4 linked regions of the Saccharomyces cerevisiae S288C genome follow. The protein of the gene in region 4 purifies or fractionates together with the protein of the main gene of each other region. This does not show direct contact. Each region holds a gene or a part of one and is shown on either strand. Other genes may lie near its edges.

Evidence for each region.
Region 1: the proteins of URB1 (region 4) and MAK5 purify together in Saccharomyces cerevisiae (affinity purification with mass spectrometry; 4 studies listed by BioGRID). This does not show direct contact.
Region 2: the proteins of URB1 (region 4) and MAK21 purify together in Saccharomyces cerevisiae (affinity purification with mass spectrometry; 3 studies listed by BioGRID, with this or other methods). This does not show direct contact.
Region 3: the proteins of URB1 (region 4) and NOP4 purify together in Saccharomyces cerevisiae (affinity purification with mass spectrometry; 3 studies listed by BioGRID). This does not show direct contact.

Annotation. Positions count from the first base shown.
Region 1 is NC_001134.8:526,555-531,143, forward strand, and holds MAK5 (ATP-dependent RNA helicase), read left to right. Parts: upstream 1-1,762; coding exon 1,763-4,084; downstream 4,085-4,589. Other genes in the region: GTPase-activating protein IRA1, read right to left, coding at 1-74; BMT2 (25S rRNA (adenine2142-N1)-methyltransferase), read right to left, coding at 471-1,484; SUP45 (translation termination factor eRF1), read right to left, coding at 4,315-4,589. UniProt on the Saccharomyces cerevisiae protein: ATP-binding RNA helicase involved in the biogenesis of 60S ribosomal subunits and is required for the normal formation of 25S and 5.8S rRNAs. Required for the maintenance of dsRNA killer plasmid.
Region 2 is NC_001136.10:568,665-574,250, forward strand, and holds MAK21 (RNA-binding ribosome biosynthesis protein MAK21), read left to right. Parts: upstream 1-1,984; coding exon 1,985-5,062; downstream 5,063-5,586. Other genes in the region: TGL2 (triglyceride lipase), read right to left, coding at 1-39; E2 ubiquitin-conjugating protein UBC5, read right to left, coding at 570-969, 1,060-1,106; YDR061W (uncharacterized protein), read left to right, coding at 5,500-5,586.
Region 3 is NC_001148.4:468,149-472,544, forward strand, and holds NOP4 (mRNA-binding ribosome biosynthesis protein NOP4), read left to right. Parts: upstream 1-1,790; coding exon 1,791-3,848; downstream 3,849-4,396. Other genes in the region: tethering complex subunit VPS16, read left to right, coding at 1-1,508. UniProt on the Saccharomyces cerevisiae protein: Required for 60S ribosomal subunit synthesis. Probably involved in the processing of 27S rRNA to produce mature 25S rRNA.
Region 4 is NC_001143.9:411,073-418,734, reverse strand, and holds URB1 (Urb1p), read left to right. Parts: upstream 1-1,821; coding exon 1,822-7,116; downstream 7,117-7,662. Other genes in the region: snoRNA-splicing protein PRP40, read right to left, coding at 1-425; ARC19 (Arc19p), read left to right, coding at 712-1,227; PUT3 (Put3p), read right to left, coding at 7,252-7,662. UniProt on the Saccharomyces cerevisiae protein: Required for 60S ribosomal subunit formation and pre-rRNA processing. Required for normal accumulation of 25S and 5.8S rRNAs.

The sequences.
Region 1 (4,589 bases), on a different chromosome or scaffold from region 4:
TCAAAAAAAAGATGCTTGGTCAAAGAGTATTCCATTGGGAAATTTTTTTTGTCTTGCGGATCGCTTTGATTCATTTTAGAAAGAGCCTTAATCTTGTTGTATGTTATATGCTGAAGAAGAATGTTAAGTTTGAAGCTCTATTTGCAGGGCAAAAGATGATCACTTGACTTTATACGCTTTCGTTAAATAGCTTAACCACGCGCTGAAAACTACTATGAGCCCAATGCCAATAAAATGATCAAAGGCGTAAATGAAACCGGTACTGTGTAATAAGCGGAAAAAAAAAAAACAGTTAATTGTTTCAATCGTAATACAAAGCGAAAACCTTTAGTATATTAGTTTTATATGAGCAGTAACTCTTGTTATTCTCCTTCGAACACTGTTCATTTGCTCATCTTTTACTTAACGTTTTTACACATCTTTCTATATTGTATCCCTTTATGAAAAACTTCCAGGCGGTGTCGGCTCGCTTAGAGGGTAATACCAAAATTGTTCAACCCAGGGCCGTCGTTAACCTTGATTCTTTTGGAAAAGCTACTCGGCTGCGGTGGAACTACCTGCAATTGATACAAACAATAGTACAACTTATTACTTTGATGGCTATTAAGCATTATGAGCCCGATAGAGCCGAGGAGGTTTTGTAACAGTGTTTTGTCGCAGTATCTTGAGTGCGTCACACAGGCTTGTGGCAGAACAATAAAGATGTAGCCTTGCGGCTTGAGAAATTTGACCATGCGATGGCACATTGCACCGCGATCCCTGTGATTTTTGACAAAATTTAGCACTAGAGAGCATGATATCAGGTCGAATTTGTCGTTTTCATTTCTCGGTAGCGGTCTTTCCATAAAATCCTGCTTAATAACGCCTTCATGTTCCTCTAAATCTATACGAACCACATTTCTAAAAAGTGCACAACGGGATATGCGATTTCCGGAGCTCAATGAACCAATTTCTAATGCCACTGCTCCAGGACAATTTTCAAATGAGGACCTGATCCATTTCTCGAGCAACTTGGACGTGTCTCCTCCTCGTTCCTTCAATTGCCCGTTTTGACTGGCAATTTGGTAAGTTTCTAGTCCTCCCAATTTATTAATCTGATTCATTATGTAACCAAGTAATGTGTACATCACAGCCAAGTCAGAAGTATCCTTTGATTTGGATTCATTTTTAATTAATGAGTGCAGCCTCAGTAGTTGTGATTCCATAGCATCATTGAAGGACTGCGATTTGCCGTCTTCATAGTACTTGCCCAGTCTTACATTACCTTTAATACTTAACCTGATAATTTTGTCATTCTTCTCCTCGTTGGAATCATCTAGGTTTTCCTTAAGGCATAAAAACTTGCATATCGATTGACGCTTATTAATTAAATGGTGGAATCTTCTTATTATCCTTCTTGTCTTCTGTGGCTTGATTACTCTCGTCACGTTACTTCCTACTTGCTTCCTCTTGCCCGTAATACTCTTCGACTTTCTTGAATGCATTCCGCTGTATTAGTGGTATCGCTAAGCTGATACAAGATTGCCATCAAGGTCATGGCTAGCTCATCGATATTATAATTGTTATATTTTTTTTCACCTCACAAACCCGCCTCAAGGTTAGTTAGTCCGTACTTTTCTTTTTCTCTGAAAAACTTTTCCAGCGATGAGCTTATAAGAATTTCCATCTAAAAAAGTTATATTCGCCAACCTGCCCATCATTATCATCATAACCTCAGGTAGAAATTCTTTAGTCAAATACCGGCATAATCAGTTTTTCCATCATGGGTAAGAAAAGGGCTCCTCAAAAAGGAAAAACGGTCACAAAGCCACAGGAGATAATTGTAGATGAATCCAAATTGAACTGGAAACCAGTAGATATTCCGGACACTTTAGATGACTTTGGTGGATTTTATGGCTTGGAAGAAATTGACGGAGTGGACGTTAAAGTCGTGGATGGTAAAGTAACTTTCGTCACCAAAAAAGATTCAAAAGTGTTAAAAGATAGCAATAAGGAAAAAGTCGGAGATGATCAGGAATCTGTGGAAAATGAATCAGGGTCAGATTCGGAGTCCGAGCTCCTTGAATTCAAGAACTTGGACGATATTAAAGAAGGAGAGTTGAGTGCAGCATCTTATTCATCATCCGACGAGGATGAGCAAGGTAATATTGAGAGTTCAAAGTTAACCGATCCCAGTGAGGATGTGGATGAGGATGTGGATGAGGATGTTTTGAAAGAAAACGTCTTTAACAAAGACATTAATATCGATGATATTTCTCCTGTAAATTTACCTGAATGGACGAATCTTGCACCTCTCTCAATGACTATTTTGCAGAGCTTGCAGAATTTAAATTTTCTCAGACCTACAGAAATTCAAAAAAAGTCTATTCCAGTTATTATGCAAGGCGTAGACGTCATGGGGAAAGCCTCTACAGGTTCAGGTAAAACTTTAGCCTATGGTATTCCAATTGTAGAGAAACTGATCAGTAACTTCTCTCAGAAAAACAAGAAACCAATATCGTTAATCTTTACTCCTACAAGAGAACTGGCGCATCAAGTCACAGACCACTTAAAAAAGATCTGTGAGCCTGTTCTAGCGAAATCTCAGTACTCGATATTATCTTTGACAGGTGGACTCTCTATCCAAAAACAACAACGTCTATTAAAGTACGATAATAGTGGCCAAATTGTCATCGCAACACCAGGTAGATTTTTGGAACTGTTGGAAAAAGACAACACTTTAATCAAAAGATTCTCGAAAGTAAATACGCTAATCCTTGATGAGGCTGATAGGCTGTTACAAGACGGTCATTTCGACGAGTTCGAAAAAATCATTAAACATTTATTAGTAGAAAGAAGGAAAAACAGAGAAAACTCCGAGGGCAGTAGCAAAATTTGGCAAACTTTGATCTTTTCTGCAACATTCTCCATCGACTTGTTTGATAAGCTATCTTCTTCCCGTCAAGTTAAGGATAGAAGGTTTAAAAACAACGAAGATGAGCTAAATGCCGTAATACAACACTTAATGAGCAAAATTCACTTCAACTCAAAGCCGGTTATAATAGATACAAATCCTGAGTCAAAAGTGAGCTCTCAAATCAAAGAATCCTTAATTGAATGTCCTCCATTAGAACGTGACCTATACTGCTATTACTTTTTAACCATGTTCCCAGGTACAACTTTGATCTTTTGTAATGCCATTGACTCCGTGAAGAAATTGACCGTATACTTAAATAACCTAGGCATCCCAGCTTTTCAAATTCATTCTTCCATGACACAAAAGAACCGTTTGAAAAGCTTAGAAAGGTTCAAGCAACAAAGCGCTAAACAGAAAACAATAAATCATTCGAATCCGGATTCCGTTCAACTCTCAACAGTATTGATTGCAAGTGATGTTGCTGCTAGAGGTTTAGATATTCCGGGTGTTCAACACGTTATTCATTACCACTTACCAAGATCTACTGATATTTATATTCATAGATCAGGCAGAACTGCAAGAGCAGGTTCTGAAGGTGTCTCTGCCATGATATGCTCACCTCAAGAATCTATGGGCCCATTAAGAAAGTTAAGAAAAACTCTCGCTACAAAAAATAGTGTTTCGACGGATTTGAACTCTAGATCAACTAACAGAAAACCCATCAAGTGGCAAAACACTGTGCCTTTGTTACCAATTGAAACCGATATACTTTCACAACTCAGAGAAAGAAGTAGATTAGCAGGCGAACTGGCTGATCATGAAATTGCTTCTAATTCCCTAAGAAAAGATGACAATTGGTTAAAAAAGGCTGCTGATGAATTAGGTATTGACGTTGATTCCGACGAAGACGATATATCAAAGAGTAATTCGGACACTTTCTTACTAAAAAATAAAAATAAAAAAATGCAGAAGACTATAAATAAGGACAAGGTAAAAGCCATGAGAGCTACGTTGAACGAATTGTTATCAGTGCCTATACGTAAAGATAGAAGACAGAAATATTTGACAGGTGGGCTAGTGAATTTAGCTGATAACTTGGTCAAAAAAAGAGGTCATAATTCTATCATTGGTCATGAAAAGACAAACGCCTTAGAAACTTTGAAGAAAAAGAAAAAGAGAAATAATTAATCTCGAGGCTTTTGAAGAGAAACTCTCCTTTCACTGTATTTTCTACGTAATATACACGGTCCTCTAAACCCACTATGTACTTTCAACAAAGGAATTAGCTCAATATAGAGCAAAAGGTTTACCAAGTATATATTATATTGTACAAAAAATTAAAAGCGAATTTAATTTAAATCTGGCATCTAGTGATTAAATTCTTTTTGATTCGATTTTTTTCTCCCCCTTTTATTTATTTAAATGAAATCATAGTCGGATCCTTCATCTTCGTCATAATATTCATCCTCAGATTCATCAACTAGTTGTTCAAAATTAACTTTGTAACGCAGCATGGCACCAATACCACCAAAACCTGTGACAAATTGGGCACCTTCTGAAGATTTGTCTGTGATGAATTCCAAGGTAGCACCGAAGTTTTTGTAGTTAGCTGCTAGCCATTCAATTAAAGGTTCTTCGGAGACAACGTCCATTTCTTGGCCGGTAGCTTTGTCAATAGCAAACGACTTGTCCT
Region 2 (5,586 bases), on a different chromosome or scaffold from region 4:
GTCTATTATTATATCATTAGCTTTATTATCATTTTTCATTTTTTTTATGCTTTTCCTCCTTTAAAACAAGACGCTTTATTCTCTATATTCTTCCTTGTACATATTTTCAATAGCGGTTCATATTAGGCTCATTATGAGAAAAGGTTGGTGAGAAATTTAGCATATTTTAAACAATCATTTAGCTAGATGAATCAGAATGTTTTTCCGACAAATAGTAGCTCGCGTGGCGTAATGGCAACGCGTCTGACTTCTAATCAGAAGATTATGGGTTCGACCCCCATCGTGAGTGCTTTGTTTCTTCCGTGATAGTTTAATGGTCAGAATGGGCGCTTGTCGCGTGCCAGATCGGGGTTCAATTCCCCGTCGCGGAGAATTTTTTTTAATTGATAGTAGCAGGTACAGGAGAAAGAGTAAATAATAGAAAGCAAGGTACGTGATGGGAATTGATCAAACTAATATCGCTATACCTATAAGAATTTGCGTGTTTGTATACGTAAAGAATATATAATATATTGATGTGTGCGCTGAGGAAGGTAAGTCTACACAATTTATCCGTTAGCCCAAATTAATCAAACAGCATATTTTTTAGTCCACTCCTTAGCGGTGGCTTCATACTTAGCCTTATCTGTCTTGTAGATTTGAGCAATTTCAGGGACCAAAGGATCGTCGGGATTAGCATCTGTTAAAAGAGAGCAAATAGACAACAAAACTTTTGAAAGGGTTAGCGCCGGTGACCACTGGTCCTTTAAAATATCAAGGCAGATATTACCACTCGAATTAATATTCGGATGATAAATTTTGGTCGTAAAGTTTACCTTCGGTGGCTTGAATGGATAATCAGTTGGAAAGTGAATAGACAAAAAGAAAACGCCACCAGCGTAGGGTGAGTCTGAAGGACCCATAATAGAGGCTTGCCAATGATACAGGTCATCCCCTACAGGTCCTGCTGAACATGAAGCAGGAGGATCTCTTCGGAAAAAAGTTCAAAAAAGAAACTCATGTTAGTAATCCTTTTTCTTTACAGATCAAGAAAAATCATTCATTTTATTTTTAACATACCTCCCTAAATCACTTAATTCCTTGGCAATACGCTTGGAGGAAGACATTTTTAGTTTAGTTGAGGGTGGTGAGCAGAAAATGACTTTTCAAGATGGTAGTCAATAAGCAGTCCTGACCTTGGAAAATAAAACTCCAACCATCTATTAAAATCCGGGATACAATTATTTTTTATAATTTTGGGTCGGCTATCTTTGGTACAAATGAGTAAGGCGGCAGCCGCTTTATTACCCGCTCGCAGTGGCAACTACCTCCACCACAGCCATGCTTCAAAAGCGCTTGCTACGAGAGTTTACACCGTACTAGCACTAGCAATACATCTAGATATCTAATTGAATTACGCACAATATAAGAAAAATCGGTTTATGAGCCTAATGAATGAGTACCAAAATAAGTAGGCAAAAAGTACAGCCTCTCATGGAACAATGAACACAACCCTAGTATAATTCATCTGTACTTTGGGACTTTCTGTGTAAGTAAACCAAGACATAATTTAATATATTTGAGAAATCTATCCTTATCCAATTGGTTGTTGCAGATGATTTCATATAAGCAAAAATGTTGGTATAACTTTCACCACATGCAATAGCAGATCTTTTGTATAACGCGTATTGCCCAACATAATCTAAGATCAGATCATTAATAAGAAAATCTCATTTCCAAAACCGATTGGACATATACTGTTTAGTAATAACCGCCGATATGATGTTCTTCCGTTCTCTTGCCTCTGTATTCCGTTACCCGTTGCAGAATGAAAAATTTTTTCTTTTGGCGATGAGGTAAAAAATTATCAGAGATGCCAAAGTAATGGAGTTGCGAATAAGAAAGCATTATGTCGTACACATCGGAAGCGAAATTCTATAGTTTGATAAATTTCTATAGATATTAAACCTCTCCAGTGTCTTTGTTGGTACAGTAATCAAAAATAATGAGTGAGAACAACGGCAATCCGCTGGATTTGTCTTCACTAAGAAATAAGATTTCGTCAAAATTGCGAGACAATAACAGCAAAAAGGCGAAGAAAACCCACAAAGGCAAGGACGTGAAGGCCAGTAGTAATTCAAAGAAGGTAAATGAGGACATACGTCGTGAAGCACTAGCATTGGGTGCCAGCGAAGAAGATCTAAAATTGATTCAAGGATTAAGCGATGATGATGACGCTAAGAGCGAACAGGAATTTGATGCCGTCGCTGACGAGGATGCTGACGACAAGGGATTCAAGAACGATCTTCAAAATTTCATGAAGAATGTAGGATTTGACCAACACAAACTCGAAGATGTAGACGATGACGATATAGAAGAAGAATCCACTAGCTCCAAAGAATCTAAAATACCCGCTCAAGAGAAGGAACATGCACAATCAAACATTGCATCATCGACAATAGAGAAAACCTCCCAAGAGTCAATCGATAATGGCAGTGAACAAGAAGAAAACACAGTAGAAGAGGCTAATCTTAGTTCAGACCAAGAGCCAGAATCAGAATCTGCAGAGAAAGAAAAGAAAGAGGAGAAAGATGGAGGTTTAATTACTCAAACTACTATTATCTCATCTGACAAACTTATTATTCCTTACGATAAACCATGGTATGAAATTCCATTGGATCCTCAAGTTGGACAAAATGATGATGTTGAAGAATTATCCAAGGAACAGATTGAGAAACTTTTTGAAAGAGGTAAGCAAACGCTAGAAGCTGACAACCAAACTTACTATGAGGAGTTTACAAAGGACTCATCGCAGGCCAAGTTCATGTCCCAAATCCTATCGGACGGTACCCTCAACGATAAAATATCTGCCGTAACTTTACTCATTCAAGATTCGCCATTGCATAACACTAAGTCTTTAGAAACTCTGGTTTCATATTGTGGCAAAAAATCGAGAAACTCTGCTTTACAGAGTTTAAACGCTTTGAAGGATTTATTCTTAAATGGTCTTTTGCCCAACAGAAAGCTGAGGTATTTCAAAAATCAACCTGGCTTATCTATGATGCTAAACAAGAAAACTCTTGCAATTTTCTATTTCGAAGATTATTTAAAGAAACTGTTCTTTCGTGTTTTAGAAGTCTTGGAAGTGCTTTCCCACGATCCAATTATTCACGTTAGATTACAAATATTAAATCATGTATTTGATTTATTGACCAACCAACCAGAGCAGGAATTTAATTTATTGAGATTAGGTGTAAATAAAATTGGTGATATTGATTCCAAAGTTTCTTCGAAGGCGTCATATTTACTACTGAAGTTGGAACAAGCTCATCCGAATATGAAATCTATTGTCATTGATGCTATCGTTGATATCGCATTGAGACCGAATGCGGATTATCATACCACTTACTATTCTGTTATTACTTTAAACCAAACCATCTTAAAAAGATCAGAAGACTCTGTTGCTAATAAATTAGTAAAAACATACTTCACTTTGTTTGAAAAATTCTTGATTAATACTGATAAAGACAATACCAATGGCGTTGTTAAGAGTAACTCAAAGTCGTATGAGGAGAAAAGAAAGAAGAACTTTAAAAAGGGTAAACACGGTGGTAAATCTGTAAAAATCGAAAAAACGGAAAATGAAGTTTTAGATGAAAAGAACTCAAAATTATTCAGTGCTTTGTTAACAGGTATCAATCGTGCATTCCCATTCGCTCAGATTCCAGCGTCTGTCTATGAAGTACATATGGAAACTCTTTTCAAAATCACACACTCCTCTAACTTTAACACCTCAATCCAAGCATTAGTTTTGATTAATCAAGTCACCGTCAAAGCAAAGTTGAACAGTGATCGATATTATAGAACATTATACGAAAGTTTATTTGACCCCAGACTGGTGAACTCTTCTAAGCAGGGTATTTACTTGAATTTACTATACAAATCATTAAAACAAGATGCACTCAACGTTGAACGAGTAGAAGCCTTTGTCAAGAGAATTCTTCAAGTTTGTTCTCATTGGTTGAACGTCGGCACCATTACTGGTTTTTTCTTCTTATTAATCCAGTTGGCTAAAACAGTTCCACAAATAAAAAATCTTCTAACCAACACGCCAGTTGATTACGAGTATGAATCTGATGCAGAAGAGGAGCAAGGGGACAAGGACATAAAAAGGAAGGAATACGACGGCCGCAAGCGTGATCCAAAGTTCGCCAATGCTGAAAAATCTTCTTTATGGGAAATCAACAACTTCATCAATCATTTTCATCCTACTGTGAAAACATATGCAAACGCCTATGTGACAGGAGAAACAGAGCAAATAGCTAAACCAGACCTGGGTCTATTTACTCTATCACACTTCCTTGACAGATTTGTCTACAGAAGTGCCAAGCAGACCAATACAGCAAGAGGTACATCTATTATGCAACCTCTGTTTAGTGGCTCACGAGTTAATGACTCTGTCTTAGTTAAGGCATCTGATATTATGCATGACCAGGGTCCCGTGAACACTGAAGACTGGCTAACTAAAAAAGTTGAAGATATCAAACCTGAAGATAAATTCTTTTATCAATATTTCACTACCAAGAAAACCGCTGATGGAAAAGGAAAGAAATCTAACAAAGCATCTAATTTCGATAGTGATGACGAAATGGATGAAAATGAAATTTGGAGTGCTTTGGTTAAATCGAGACCAGATGTTGAAGATGATAGCGACGACAGTGAACTTGACTTCGCTGAAGATGATTTCAGCGATTCAACTAGTGACGATGAACCTAAGCTGGACGCAATTGATGATGAAGATGCTAAAAGTGAAGGCAGCCAAGAAAGCGATCAAGAAGAAGGCCTCGATGAGGATATTTTTTACAGTTTCGATGGAGAACAAGACAATAGTGATAAAAAACGTTCCTTCGCTGAAAGTAGTGAAGAGGACGAGAGCAGCGAAGAAGAAAAAGAAGAAGAAGAAAATAAAGAGGTATCCGCAAAAAGAGCAAAGAAGAAGCAGAGAAAGAATATGCTCAAAAGTCTACCGGTATTTGCATCTGCCGACGATTATGCTCAATATTTAGATCAAGATTCAGACTAGAAAATAATAATACATTAACTAAACACTTCGGTGTTGTAAATTAAATAAGGAAAACAGAATTTTGTACAATAAAAAACGGTCCAATACGAAACCTTGAAGCGAAAGACGCATATCAGAGTTTTGCTGATAACTCTACTTATGTCCGCTTTTCAACATTATTAGAGCGGGAGTAAACGGAAAAAGAGTAATGCGGAAATAGAAACGGATTTTAGCTACAACTATGTCAGTTGAAATCGCCGAGATTGCTGACATCGTGAGACGAAACTAAAAACGATGGAACCACGTGACTCCTATTAGAAATAAATAATCCAGAACTCATTTTTAACCATTTTGTTTATATAGGCACATTTGTAGCGACAATTTTCTGTTAGCTAATTGCAGTAAGCAAAACAAATTTGTGAATACTTGATTAATATTCTGTGAAAGATTTTTTAATTATGAGTACCAATAAGTTCGTTGTACGAATAACGAATGCGCTCTTCAAGTCATCACTGGCTAGCAACAGTCCACCTGTTTACCCTAAG
Region 3 (4,396 bases), on a different chromosome or scaffold from region 4:
CTTCTAATATATTTAGAATTGGCTCAACCGAGCCTGGTGCAATGCTTGTTGACTCATTTAGTTTACTGGAGGATCATGCACCCAAAGCAATTGAAATATTAAAGAATTTTGTCTTAGAGAAGGGTGTACTGGACTGTATTGCTGCTGCAATAGACGAATTTGAACCTAAACTACAGAAGATGTTGTTGAACGCTGCATCTTATGGAAAAGCTTCTTTGCAGTACAAGTCATTTGACGCTAGTATATTTGTGAATGCGTGTAATACGATAAAATTATTAAACTGCTTCAGAAGTTTTGGTATTTTTTTGACTGTGGAGGAATACAGGTGTATTTCTTTGAAAGGTGTCATTGATAGGCTGTTGAAGTATCACAGATATTATGAGTGCATACAGATATGCAAATTGGCCAATGAACGATTTCTGTTAGGATACGTGTTTACTGAGTGGGCAAAGGATAAAATCAAGGGTAGTCCTGACATGGAAGATGATGAGTTACTAGACAAAATCAAATCTCGACTAAGTGTTATAGATATGACGGATACATTACAAATGGTAGCAGTTGCGAAAGTTGCATATCTTGAAGGAAGGTTCCAGTTATCCCGTAATTTAGCTTTATTAGAGAAAAACGAAGAAGCTAGAATTGAGCAACTGTATAATCTTGATGATGATAGTATAGCGCTAAAGGAGTGTATCAAAGTACAAAATTACAGTCTGACAATTTCATTACTGATTGCACTTTCCAAAAAGCTGACAAACTCTCAACTGACGAAGCTTTTGATCATTGATATGTTCAACAATCCCTTATATCTCTATTATATGAGAATGGATAAAGCATACTTGTACGATTTTTACCGCCAAACTGACCGATTTATTGACTTGGCTCACGTATTACTGCAGCAGGGAAAAGAACAGCAATCTTTACACAGCTTTTTACCGCAAATTAAGGACCTTTATAGCCAAGTTCAAAACAGTGAAGTGGTCAACAATACAATAGAACAACTTCAAAGACAGGAAAAGTTGTGGATATACCAAGAATCATTAGGCAAAAGATTTGCTATATCATTCACTAATATGACTTTAGATCAAACGCTTTCGAAGTTAATAGAAACAGGGCAAGATAAACAGGTGAAAGAAATAGTTAAAAAGTTCAAAATAAGCGAAAAAAAGCTGTATCACCTGAAATGTAAAACGTTAGTCGAAGCTAAGAAGTTTGACGAACTACTACAGTTTGCTCAGTCGCGGAAATCACCAATTGGTTACATGCCTTTCTACACATACTTAAAAAGCAGAGGCCATATGGATAAAGCTAGTCCTTATGTTAATATGATACCTGGCCTTTCGTATCAGGAAAAGAAAAAGCTTTATGTGGAGTGCAGGGGTTTTCGTGATGCAATTCAACTAGCAGGAAAGGAAAAAGACATTCCAGGCTTAAAGGAGATATATAATATTATACCACCTAATGAGCCGGAATTAAAGGCATTAGCAAATGAAACTATGAGCAGGATATAGAACTCATAATTTATAGACGTTGTGGATATCTAGCCGCATATCAAATAATTAAATGCTGCCATTACGTTTGTGCGGTTATATATGTTGGCTCCCTATAGGGTTACCCATGGAACGGCGAAGGAAAAAAAAAATAATTTTCACTGAAAAATTTCAAGAGTCTATCTCATCTCATCGTTTATTCTGAATTAAATACTACATACAAAATCTTTTTATTAGTAAAATAGTGAGATTTCTTCGTGAACTAGTGAAAAGCTATCAATATTACCAATCTACCAAAGTGAGATGGAAGAAACAATAGAAAATGTTGAAGTGCCTTCTAGTAATGTCTCAAAACAAAATGACGACGGCCTAGATATGAAGACTTTGTTTGTGAGGTCTATACCCCAGGATGTCACAGATGAGCAGCTGGCAGATTTCTTTTCCAATTTTGCTCCGATCAAGCATGCGGTAGTTGTTAAGGACACGAATAAAAGGTCCAGGGGCTTCGGGTTCGTTAGTTTTGCTGTAGAGGATGACACAAAAGAAGCCCTAGCTAAGGCCAGAAAGACCAAATTTAACGGACATATCTTGAGGGTAGACATTGCTAAAAGAAGAGATCGTTCAAAGAAAACATCAGAAGTGGTTGAAAAGAGCACACCTGAGTCATCTGAGAAAATAACGGGCCAGAACAATGAAGATGAGGACGATGCTGATGGTGAAGACTCCATGCTAAAAGGTAAACCGAAATTAATTATCAGAAATATGCCATGGAGTTGTCGTGATCCAGTTAAATTGAAAAAGATCTTTGGTAGATATGGTACCGTCGTGGAGGCTACCATTCCAAGGAAGCGTGATGGTAAATTGTGTGGATTTGCGTTTGTTACTATGAAGAAAATCAGTAATTGTAGAATTGCTTTGGAAAACACCAAAGACTTGAAAATTGATGGTAGAAAGGTGGCTGTTGATTTTGCTGTTCAAAAAAACAGATGGGAAGATTACAAAAAAGCCCAGCCAGAAATGAATGACAAAGATGATAACGAGTCAGGAAATGAAGATGCTGAAGAAAACCATGACGACGAAGAAGATGAAAATGAAGAGGAAGATAGACAAGTAGATCAAGCTTCAAAAAACAAAGAATCGAAACGTAAAGCACAAAACAAAAGGGAAGATTTTTCTGTTTTTGTTCGTAACGTCCCTTATGATGCCACTGAAGAATCTTTGGCTCCGCACTTCAGTAAATTTGGCAGCGTTAAATACGCATTACCTGTTATCGATAAGTCTACGGGGTTGGCTAAAGGTACGGCCTTTGTAGCCTTCAAAGACCAATATACATATAACGAGTGTATCAAAAATGCGCCTGCGGCTGGCTCTACCTCTTTATTGATAGGTGATGATGTCATGCCTGAGTATGTGTATGAAGGTCGTGTTCTGTCCATTACTCCAACGTTAGTAAGAGAGGATGCTGGAAGAATGGCAGAAAAGAACGCCGCCAAAAGAAAGGAGGCCCTAGGTAAAGCGCCAGGCGAAAAAGATAGACGTAACTTATATTTGCTGAATGAAGGTAGAGTTGTTGAAGGCTCAAAAATGGCTGATTTGTTAACCAACACTGACATGGAGATCAGAGAAAAATCTTACAAATTAAGAGTGGAGCAACTGAAAAAGAACCCATCTTTGCATTTGTCGATGACTAGGTTGGCTATCAGAAATCTTCCTAGAGCAATGAATGATAAAGCATTAAAGGCGTTAGCTCGTAAAGCTGTCGTGGAATTTGCTACAGAAGTTAAAAATAAGGAAAGACATCCATTGAGTAAAGAAGAGATTATCAGATCTACAAAGGAAAAATACAAGTTCATGGGTCCAGATGAGATTGAAGCTCAAAAAAAGAAAGACAAAAAAAGTGGTGTTGTCAAGCAAGCAAAAGTTATAATGGAAGTTAAAGGATCAACTGCGGGAAGAAGTAGAGGTTACGGTTTTGTAGAATTCAGAGATCATAAAAACGCTTTGATGGGCTTAAGGTGGTTGAATTGTCATGCCGTTACCTCCGATGAAATTTTAGAGGGTTTGAATGATGATGAAAAGAAACAAGTAGACAATGACTTAGGCAAAGGAAGACGTCTTTGTGTTGAATTTGCGATTGAGAACTCTAACGTCGTAAAGAGAAGAAGGGAACAATTGAAGCAAGCAAGAACCAAGAGAACAAGACCAGATAATGAAGATACTGGAGATGTCGGAGAATCCGAGAATAAGAAGCCAAAAAAAGAAGAAGCAACGACGCCCACCAATCCCGATGACAAAAAGATGGGCGATGATATAAAGAGAATAATCGGGTTCAAGCGTAAGAGAAAGCACGCAAAAAAATAGAGGTAGAACCATATTTATAGGAATTTCGATTTGTATTCTCTTTACGTATGTACATTATTTTTCAAAGAGTAGATAGATGAATCTCTAACGTACTCGAAAGCTTTTATGTCGTTATTTTAGTACTGTTTTACGAGAAGCGCGAGAAACTCTCTACATATACTGTCCAGCATCTCAGTAAATCATACTGAAACCTTATTACCAGTATCGCTCCTAGACGTTCCGTTTGAAGTAATAGGCAAGACGAGAATTATTTATTTCCCATGATATACATAATGGTTATAAGTAGACCGCAAATAAAAGTATGTAAAATTAGCTATGTTTCTACATTGTTTGTGCAATGACTTTTAGGTTCGGCTGGTCATTAATAACTAGGTGATGCTGAATTCACGTATCTTATTAGATACATTTAGAATTCATGACTTCTCCTTTGTATGAGCGTGTCCCTCCTTTTCTTGATGGTTTCAGCCCTTCTACATACTACACAATGTACTTTGTTAACCGATGATAACTCTACTTTATACGTAGTTTAGACTTTGAACGGGATGAAC
Region 4 (7,662 bases):
ATGGTAATAAATTCCTTCTCTGCTTCTTCTTTAGTCCTTCTCCTGACATTAAGCAGTTTAGAGTTATTAGCATATTGGCTTTCCTCCTCGTTTATAGTTCGTCCCGGCTCTTGTTTTTCTCCAGCCGTAAGGGCTATTCTATTTCCATTAACCTGTGCATGGGATACTGTATCATGTTTTTGTTCTGCGATGGGTTCTACTTTCTTCTCGAAGGCCGGAATAGTCCAGCTGGTTTCTCTTGTTGTTGGATTATAATAGTATACTTTGCCGTCTGCCGTCTTGGCCGCCTTCCAGCCATTTTCTCGAAGAAGTAGCTCCTCCTGAGAAATTAGTTCCTTGGGCTTCTCCCACGTAGATTTCTTTGTCAAAGTATTGTAATAATATATCCTTCCACTTGCATCTTTAGCTTCCTTCCAAATAGACATAGTTTCACGTCTCCCACCTCCGGCAATGCTTGTCTAGTGGTCGATCTGGCTTCAGACCTTGTTATCCTGATAGGTAGGCACGCTATTGCGATGTCATCAACTGCCAGATTTCCAAGTACATTATTATTGTCGATAATTTCATATCGTTTACCACGTCGCCCCTTTTGTATAGCAAAATACAATTATAGAACAAAAAAAGCCTGTAAAGCCAAGCAAATAGAGGCTTTCGGAACAACTCGGTGTCACTTTGACAAAAGATAAAAGAGGAAGCAACTGATAGTAGGAAATGTCACAATCATTACGTCCGTATCTAACGGCTGTTCGTTATTCCCTGGAAGCTGCGTTGACTTTGAGCAATTTCTCTTCGCAGGAAGTGGAGAGGCACAACAGACCGGAAGTTGAAGTCCCTAACACTAGCGCCGAATTGTTGCTCCAACCGATGCATATATCTCGTAATGAAAATGAACAAGTATTGATTGAGCCCAGTGTAAACTCGGTGCGTATGAGTTTAATGGTGAAACAGGCAGATGAAATTGAGCAGATTTTAGTTCACAAGTTTACTAGATTTTTGGAACAGCGTGCTGAAGCATTCTACATTCTGAGACGTGTACCAATACCTGGCTACAGTATTTCTTTTCTAATAACTAATAAGCATACTGAATCAATGAAAACTGGGAAATTGGTTGATTTTATTATTGAATTCATGGAGGACGTGGATAAGGAAATCAGTGAAATTAAACTGTTTTTGAATGCCAGAGCAAGATTTGTTGCGGAAGCATATCTTGATGAATTTGTCTATTAGATTCCTAATATAGGAAAGGGAATCTTTCTCCGTCAGGGCCCTATTGACGGAAAACTTTACGATCTGTACTGACTGTGTTAGTTTGCGTACTCAATTGAACTATTTCGAGACTATTTAGTTAGATACAATAACATGTGTATGTGAATTAATTATAAACGTACTTTTAAATTGCAGTTACTTTGTATAATTATGGTGATTTTTTTAGTACTTAAATTATATTCATAAAAAGGGATTAAAATGTTTCTCCCGACACCTAAAATTAAACTTCAATCTGTCAATTCTAACACAAAACGTTTTCATTTTACGTAAACAAATGAAGATTGAAGATTCTAAAGCATTTATTATTACTGCCGCACTAGTATACGACCAAACTAAAATTATATGATAATAGTGCACCAACATATAGTAAACAGCTTTTACCTATGCACGACTTGCATGAGGATTTCAATATTATATCACTGTAGACGAAATATGAAAAATTTCAGCAATAAAGCTCATCGCAAAGAATAGTTCGGTTATATTCTTGATTGGATATTATTTCTCTAATCTATGCGGTACTACTTCATCTAACAGAACTAGAGGAGCACTTACATAATGAGTAATCATAGCGAAGCCTATGGATCTCGCGACCAGAGAAGGGAGAAGTACACCCAAGGGAAAGAGTTCGAAGACGGTACATTAGAAACACTAGAAAGTATAATCAGTGCAGTCGAAGATGAAACTCTCTCCAAAGATTACCAACCTCTAATAGTGTTCTTCCAAAGAGGATTTGGTGCTCAATTGGTACAGACTTGGTCATATTATGCTCAAGTAAATAACCATGGGAAATTCTCGAAAACTACCTCATTACTGACTAAAACCTTACGAGTTTTGTCATCTGATACTAGTACAGTGACTATTGGGAGCGGTCTAATTAGATTGATATTGACCGATTACACAAAAGTTCTCTATAGAGGGTTGAACAATATGCGTGCGCAATTAACTAATCCAATTCTTCGTCTACTCAAACAAATAGTCAATTTCAACAATGGGCAACATATAGAGGAATTAGTTTCATATTTCGATTTTTCATTACCTATTTTACCAAGACTGTTGGTACCAAGCAAGTCTGAGTTAGCCAATGGGAATTCATCTGCTGATTCATCCAAACATGACTCATTAAGATTTACATTTATCAAGTTTTGGTTGACATTGATCTCAAATGCTTCCCCATTCGTGAGAAAAGAACTTTTGACAGAAAACTTTAAGATTATGAGCAACCTATTTAAATTCATGAATAAGGCTGATTCTGACAAGTTATCTGAGCACATACTATCGGTATTCATAAACGACATTTTAAAGGAGAAATCCTTCAAGAGAACTACTAAAACCAAAATTTTAAATGAACTAGCGGCTTCAAAGATTCATCACTTTTATTATTCATCAAACAAGAATTTGGTTAAGAAGGCAAATGAGTTTTTCTTAACTTTTGGAGCTTCCCGTGACTTTAGCGTAGCATTTCCTGATAATTGCGTTTGGTTCAAAAATTCAGTTGCTGATGGAGCTTCTCATGGAGCTCCGATAACCGTCAACCAAGTGGAATTTCAAATTCATAATAAACTTTTGTTCAACACTTTACGCCTTTTCAAACCTTGGGAAGATACGCTGCAATTAGGTACGTTGATCAAAATATTGGAGAACGTTCCCGAACTTGTTGCTCCTTACAGCATCTTTTTAACGACGAATGGTAACTATGACCCTAAGATGACTTCGTATTGGTTTGGTATAACGTTACTGATTAACAAGATTATTAATCTTAAGATACCGCAATTTATGGAGAAAGTTGATAGCAATATTCCACCTGCCACTTCATTAGTTATAGAAAACATTCTGCCATCTTTGCTCACCAAATCCTCGTTGGTTAAATCCCTACAATTTGAAACACCCATCATAAGACAATTAGCCTGTCAATCAATAGTTCTAGCGTTAAAAAAATTAGAAAAAGTTTCCACATTTTATGATCAAAAAGGCTGGAGAAATGAAAAAACTATTTTACTCAACGAGTTTCATACTAGAATTCCTGATTTACCAATCTTCGTATCTACTTTGAGCAATTCTTTGGCTTCCAATAAGGATAATAGAATTTTACCTCTGTCCATATCCATCATATTCAACTACTATAGTAAAATGTTCCCCAACCTCTTCTCAATTAACCTACCATCATCAAATATTTACACAGATATCATGCAAAAATCCAAGATTTCTGGCATAGAATTTGCTATTCTGGACAACTACTTACAATTTCAAGAATTTAACTCTACTCAAACCAGGTGGTGGAATCCAAGTTCTGGTGGAAATTCTTTATTCACCCTACTATTAAAGCTAGCATCCTCCAAAAATGCTTCTAACGTGATAACTACAAGAATATCCAACTTGCTCGATGAGCTGACGAGAACAAACGTTATCTTCAACATATCTTTAATTTCACCAGTGATGGCTTTAGTGAATAGTCTTCAAGGGCTTTCCCTTCAAGTTTCTGAAATTGACAACATGGAACAAGTCTGGAAGTGGTTTGACGAAACTATATCTCGTGTCGTAAAAACACCATACAAGTACGTCGATATGGCAAAAGAGTATAACTACATTTCTCCCTTCATAATGTGCCTTTCAGAGCAATGGAAATACGTTGACAAGAGTGGAAACCCAGAGTTTTTAATTAAATGGCTTATACTTTTTCTTAGAAACATGATTTTCATTGGTGAAGACCATATAGGCATAGATAAACTTGTTAAAAATGTCTTTCCTGAGGTCTCTGATCATGATGTTAATATATACTTGAAACTTGACTCATTTGAAGAAAACATAAAGAAAACTAATAGCTCTAATTCTTTAATTTCTTCAATGAAGAGCTCATCTTTTTTCCAGTATATTTCGGCGCTTCCATCTAAAAATCTAATGAATATTTCTAGATTACCAGTGAACAAATTAGATGCGGCAGGAATCCTTTTTAGAGTTCAGTTATTGGTAGAAGACGATTCTGTTGTATATGACAATTGGTTCGAAGCAACTGCCTGTGAGTTAACTGGCAAGATTGCTAGCTACATGGTAACAGACACAGAATTCCCAATTATCAAAGTTTTGGAAAGGTATATAAATTTCGCTTTACCAAAACTGGCCATTGAAAAAAGAAATGCTCTACTCATGAAAAAATCAAGGTTCATGTGCAATTTAATCGGTGCAGTATGCTTTGAAACAGGCCATCAATTAGTGGAATTCCGAGAAATAATTCAAAAAGTCGTGTTTAGTGGTGAAAATGTCGAAGAGTATGCCAACTATAATGAGTTGTATCAGAAAGAAGATGTAAATGCTTTCTTAACAAGTGTTAGTGAGTATTTAAGTACTTCAGCTTTAACTTCGCTACTCATGTGTAGCACCAAACTAGAGTCCACAAGAAACATTCTCCAAAAATTATTCAACGAAGGAAAAACTATAAAAATATCCCTTGTAAAGAATATACTGAACAAAGCTGCAAATGAAGATCCTGCTTCAATTAAGGAAGTAAACATCTCTTTGGCTAAATTTTTTGAAGAAAACAAAGTTTGTGTTGATGCTTCATCTGATCCTATGGGTAAGCTATCCCTTTCAGAAACTACTTCTCTGATAAATAGTTTTGTGTCTAGTGATTTGAATTATCTAGTACTGAAAGCTTTTTACAGATGGGAACATTTTTCTTTCCCATCTTTCATACCAAGTATCTGGAGGATCAAGGATTCACCTTTACTAAGTATTGTAACAACGGCTGCTTTGTTCAAGCACATGCAGGATAAAGATTTTAGCGCATTTGCGCATGAAACCATTTCCAAGTATGGTAATGAAATTGCGAAAAGTACTTACACTACCTCGAAAAGTGAGATTTTTGACGAAATATTAAATATGATTACCACTTATATTGATTTCTATGACGAAACGAAACGAAATGAAATTTTGAAATGTGTTTTATCACAGAGCGACCATAAATATCATGCTGCTACAGTAAGATACATAGCTGCACACAATAATTTTACTTATCCAGGGGTAGAAACATGGTTACATAAAACTCTTCTTTACCTTACAAAGTACCTTTCAGAAAGAAAAGTTATCTCCAATTCTTTTTTTGAGTTACTAAGAGCGATGGCTGAGCTCTTAAAACTTGAAGAGGTACCAAATAAGTTGAATGTCAAAATCATTAATTCTCAATTAGAGGCTATTCTAGGCAGTGAGTGGATCAAACAAATTAAGGTTCTTGAATACGTTATTGTATTAATTTTTTGTGTGAGCAAAAAGTCAATTCAATCGCAAAGAATGGTTCAACTTTTATTAAGCAATGACAGTTACTCATCAATAATGATTAAAGACAATGATGAAGATTCATCGTATCGAAAGTTCTTAAGCACAATGATATTATTCTCTTTATTCAGCATCGACCCGGTCGTAAATTCGACGCCAATAGTTCAAGAGAAATTATTGACTTTTTACTCCGGTACTATTTCCAGTAACGACAAGTTGATACTGAAAATTCTAGAAACTATCGAATCTCACACCGCTACTTCATGGACAAACATGATTTTTTCTTGGGAATTTATCAAAGACGAAGAGGAAGAAATCTTGGAAGCCATTGGAGACACGAGGCTGATTACCAAAGAAAGGGAGGGGTTGATACTAACACTACAAAAAAACATGATCAAAAAGTCCATTGACAGATACGTATTGGAAAGGCCTCAAGTCCCTGAATTATATACCGATTCTAATACAAACAATTATGATGCTACTACAAGGTGTGACCTAGTCAAAAAGTACTACGATGATACCGAACGATCTGGTGTTGATATGTACGATCCATTATTTTTACTGCTATTAATAATCCATAACAAAGAGCTGGTAAAAATGGTCAAAGATGACGAGGGCAATGTAACATACAGATATGAATTTGAAAATTTCCTTGATTGCAAAATATTTCAGTTTATTATTTGCTCATTAAGCGATTGTCATACCGTTGCCAATATAAGTTACGAACATTTATCAAATTTAGCTTCTTCTTTGGAGAAGAAAACTGCCCAGATGAATCTTGAAAAGCAAATAACTAGCAAGGATAATGAAAGAAAAGAATCTGATAGCGATTTAATCAAATATAATAGCATTTACCAAGTGTTGATTAAAAGGATTTTATACCAGAGACAACAAAATCAAGATCCTATCAATCCGTTAATTTGGTTTTCTATCTCTAGAATTGTTGATCTATTGGGAAGTCCAACTGCGCCCTTACATGAGAAGGCATACCGCTGGGTATTATCAAATTCTACCATACGTAGTTGGGACATCCCTATGGTATCTGATGTGATGATGTCCTACAATAAGAGACAACAAGATGACAATAAGAAAGAAATTGATATGGAAATATACTATGGAGAATTGAGTTGGGTTTTAACAACCATTTGTAAGGGAATTAAAACGGATGAAGATTACAAGATGTTAGAGAAGAAAGGTGTATTTGAATGGTTGTTAAACTTGATCAATATGCCATACTTGAAAGAAAGATTACGCGAACTAATCTATTTTATTTTTTACAAAGTCCAAAGGGTAGCAGATGATGGTGGTTTGAATTTAATTAGCAGAAACGGTATTGTGTCGTTTTTCGAGGTTTTGAACAATAACATCAAATCTAGACTACCACAGGACGATATACTGAACAACATTGGTACTTTACGGAACGAAAACAGAGGTACATTAAATACTACTTTGAGGTTAGCCCAAGAACAAAACGGAATTGAAAAACTACTATTAGGCTACAACGAGCTTGTCAAATCACAAAAAAGGCTAATATTATGGACAGAAGGTGATAGCGACAATGTTGTCAAGAGGCTACGTAAATGAGCTGTCTTGTGATAGATATTTTAAATAAGATTTGAAGAATTAAATGTCCACTTTTCTATATAATGTGCGAAATGTATAATATATGCATAAGAAAACAAAGAAATCAGTATTTTCTTCTTTGTCTTTGTAATGGTGTTATGGTCCTAAATAATCAGTAAAGTCAATTTCACTACCAGCAGCTGCAGTTGGATCCATAGTATTTCCCAGCCACATTGCTTGATCAGTGATTTCCTTCCAAAGTTTTTCATCGGAATGATCAATATTGCCTAAATCCTCCAACAATTGTTGTAAATCGTCATCATTTAGATTATGAACGGAATCCAACTGATCCATGTTTTTTTCCATCACCTGAGAGCCCTTTTCAGTTAGCGTGGTTTGGTATGAATTTTCCAAGCTCGCAGTTATGATATCAAAAAAAGTAGAAGGTTCCGAGTTATTGACGTTAATATCATTAACATCATTATTACCATTACTATAATCAGTCAGCGTTGGTTTCGCGCCTTCCGGAAGTATGCTAACAATGTTCGATATAGATTCGTTCTTGAT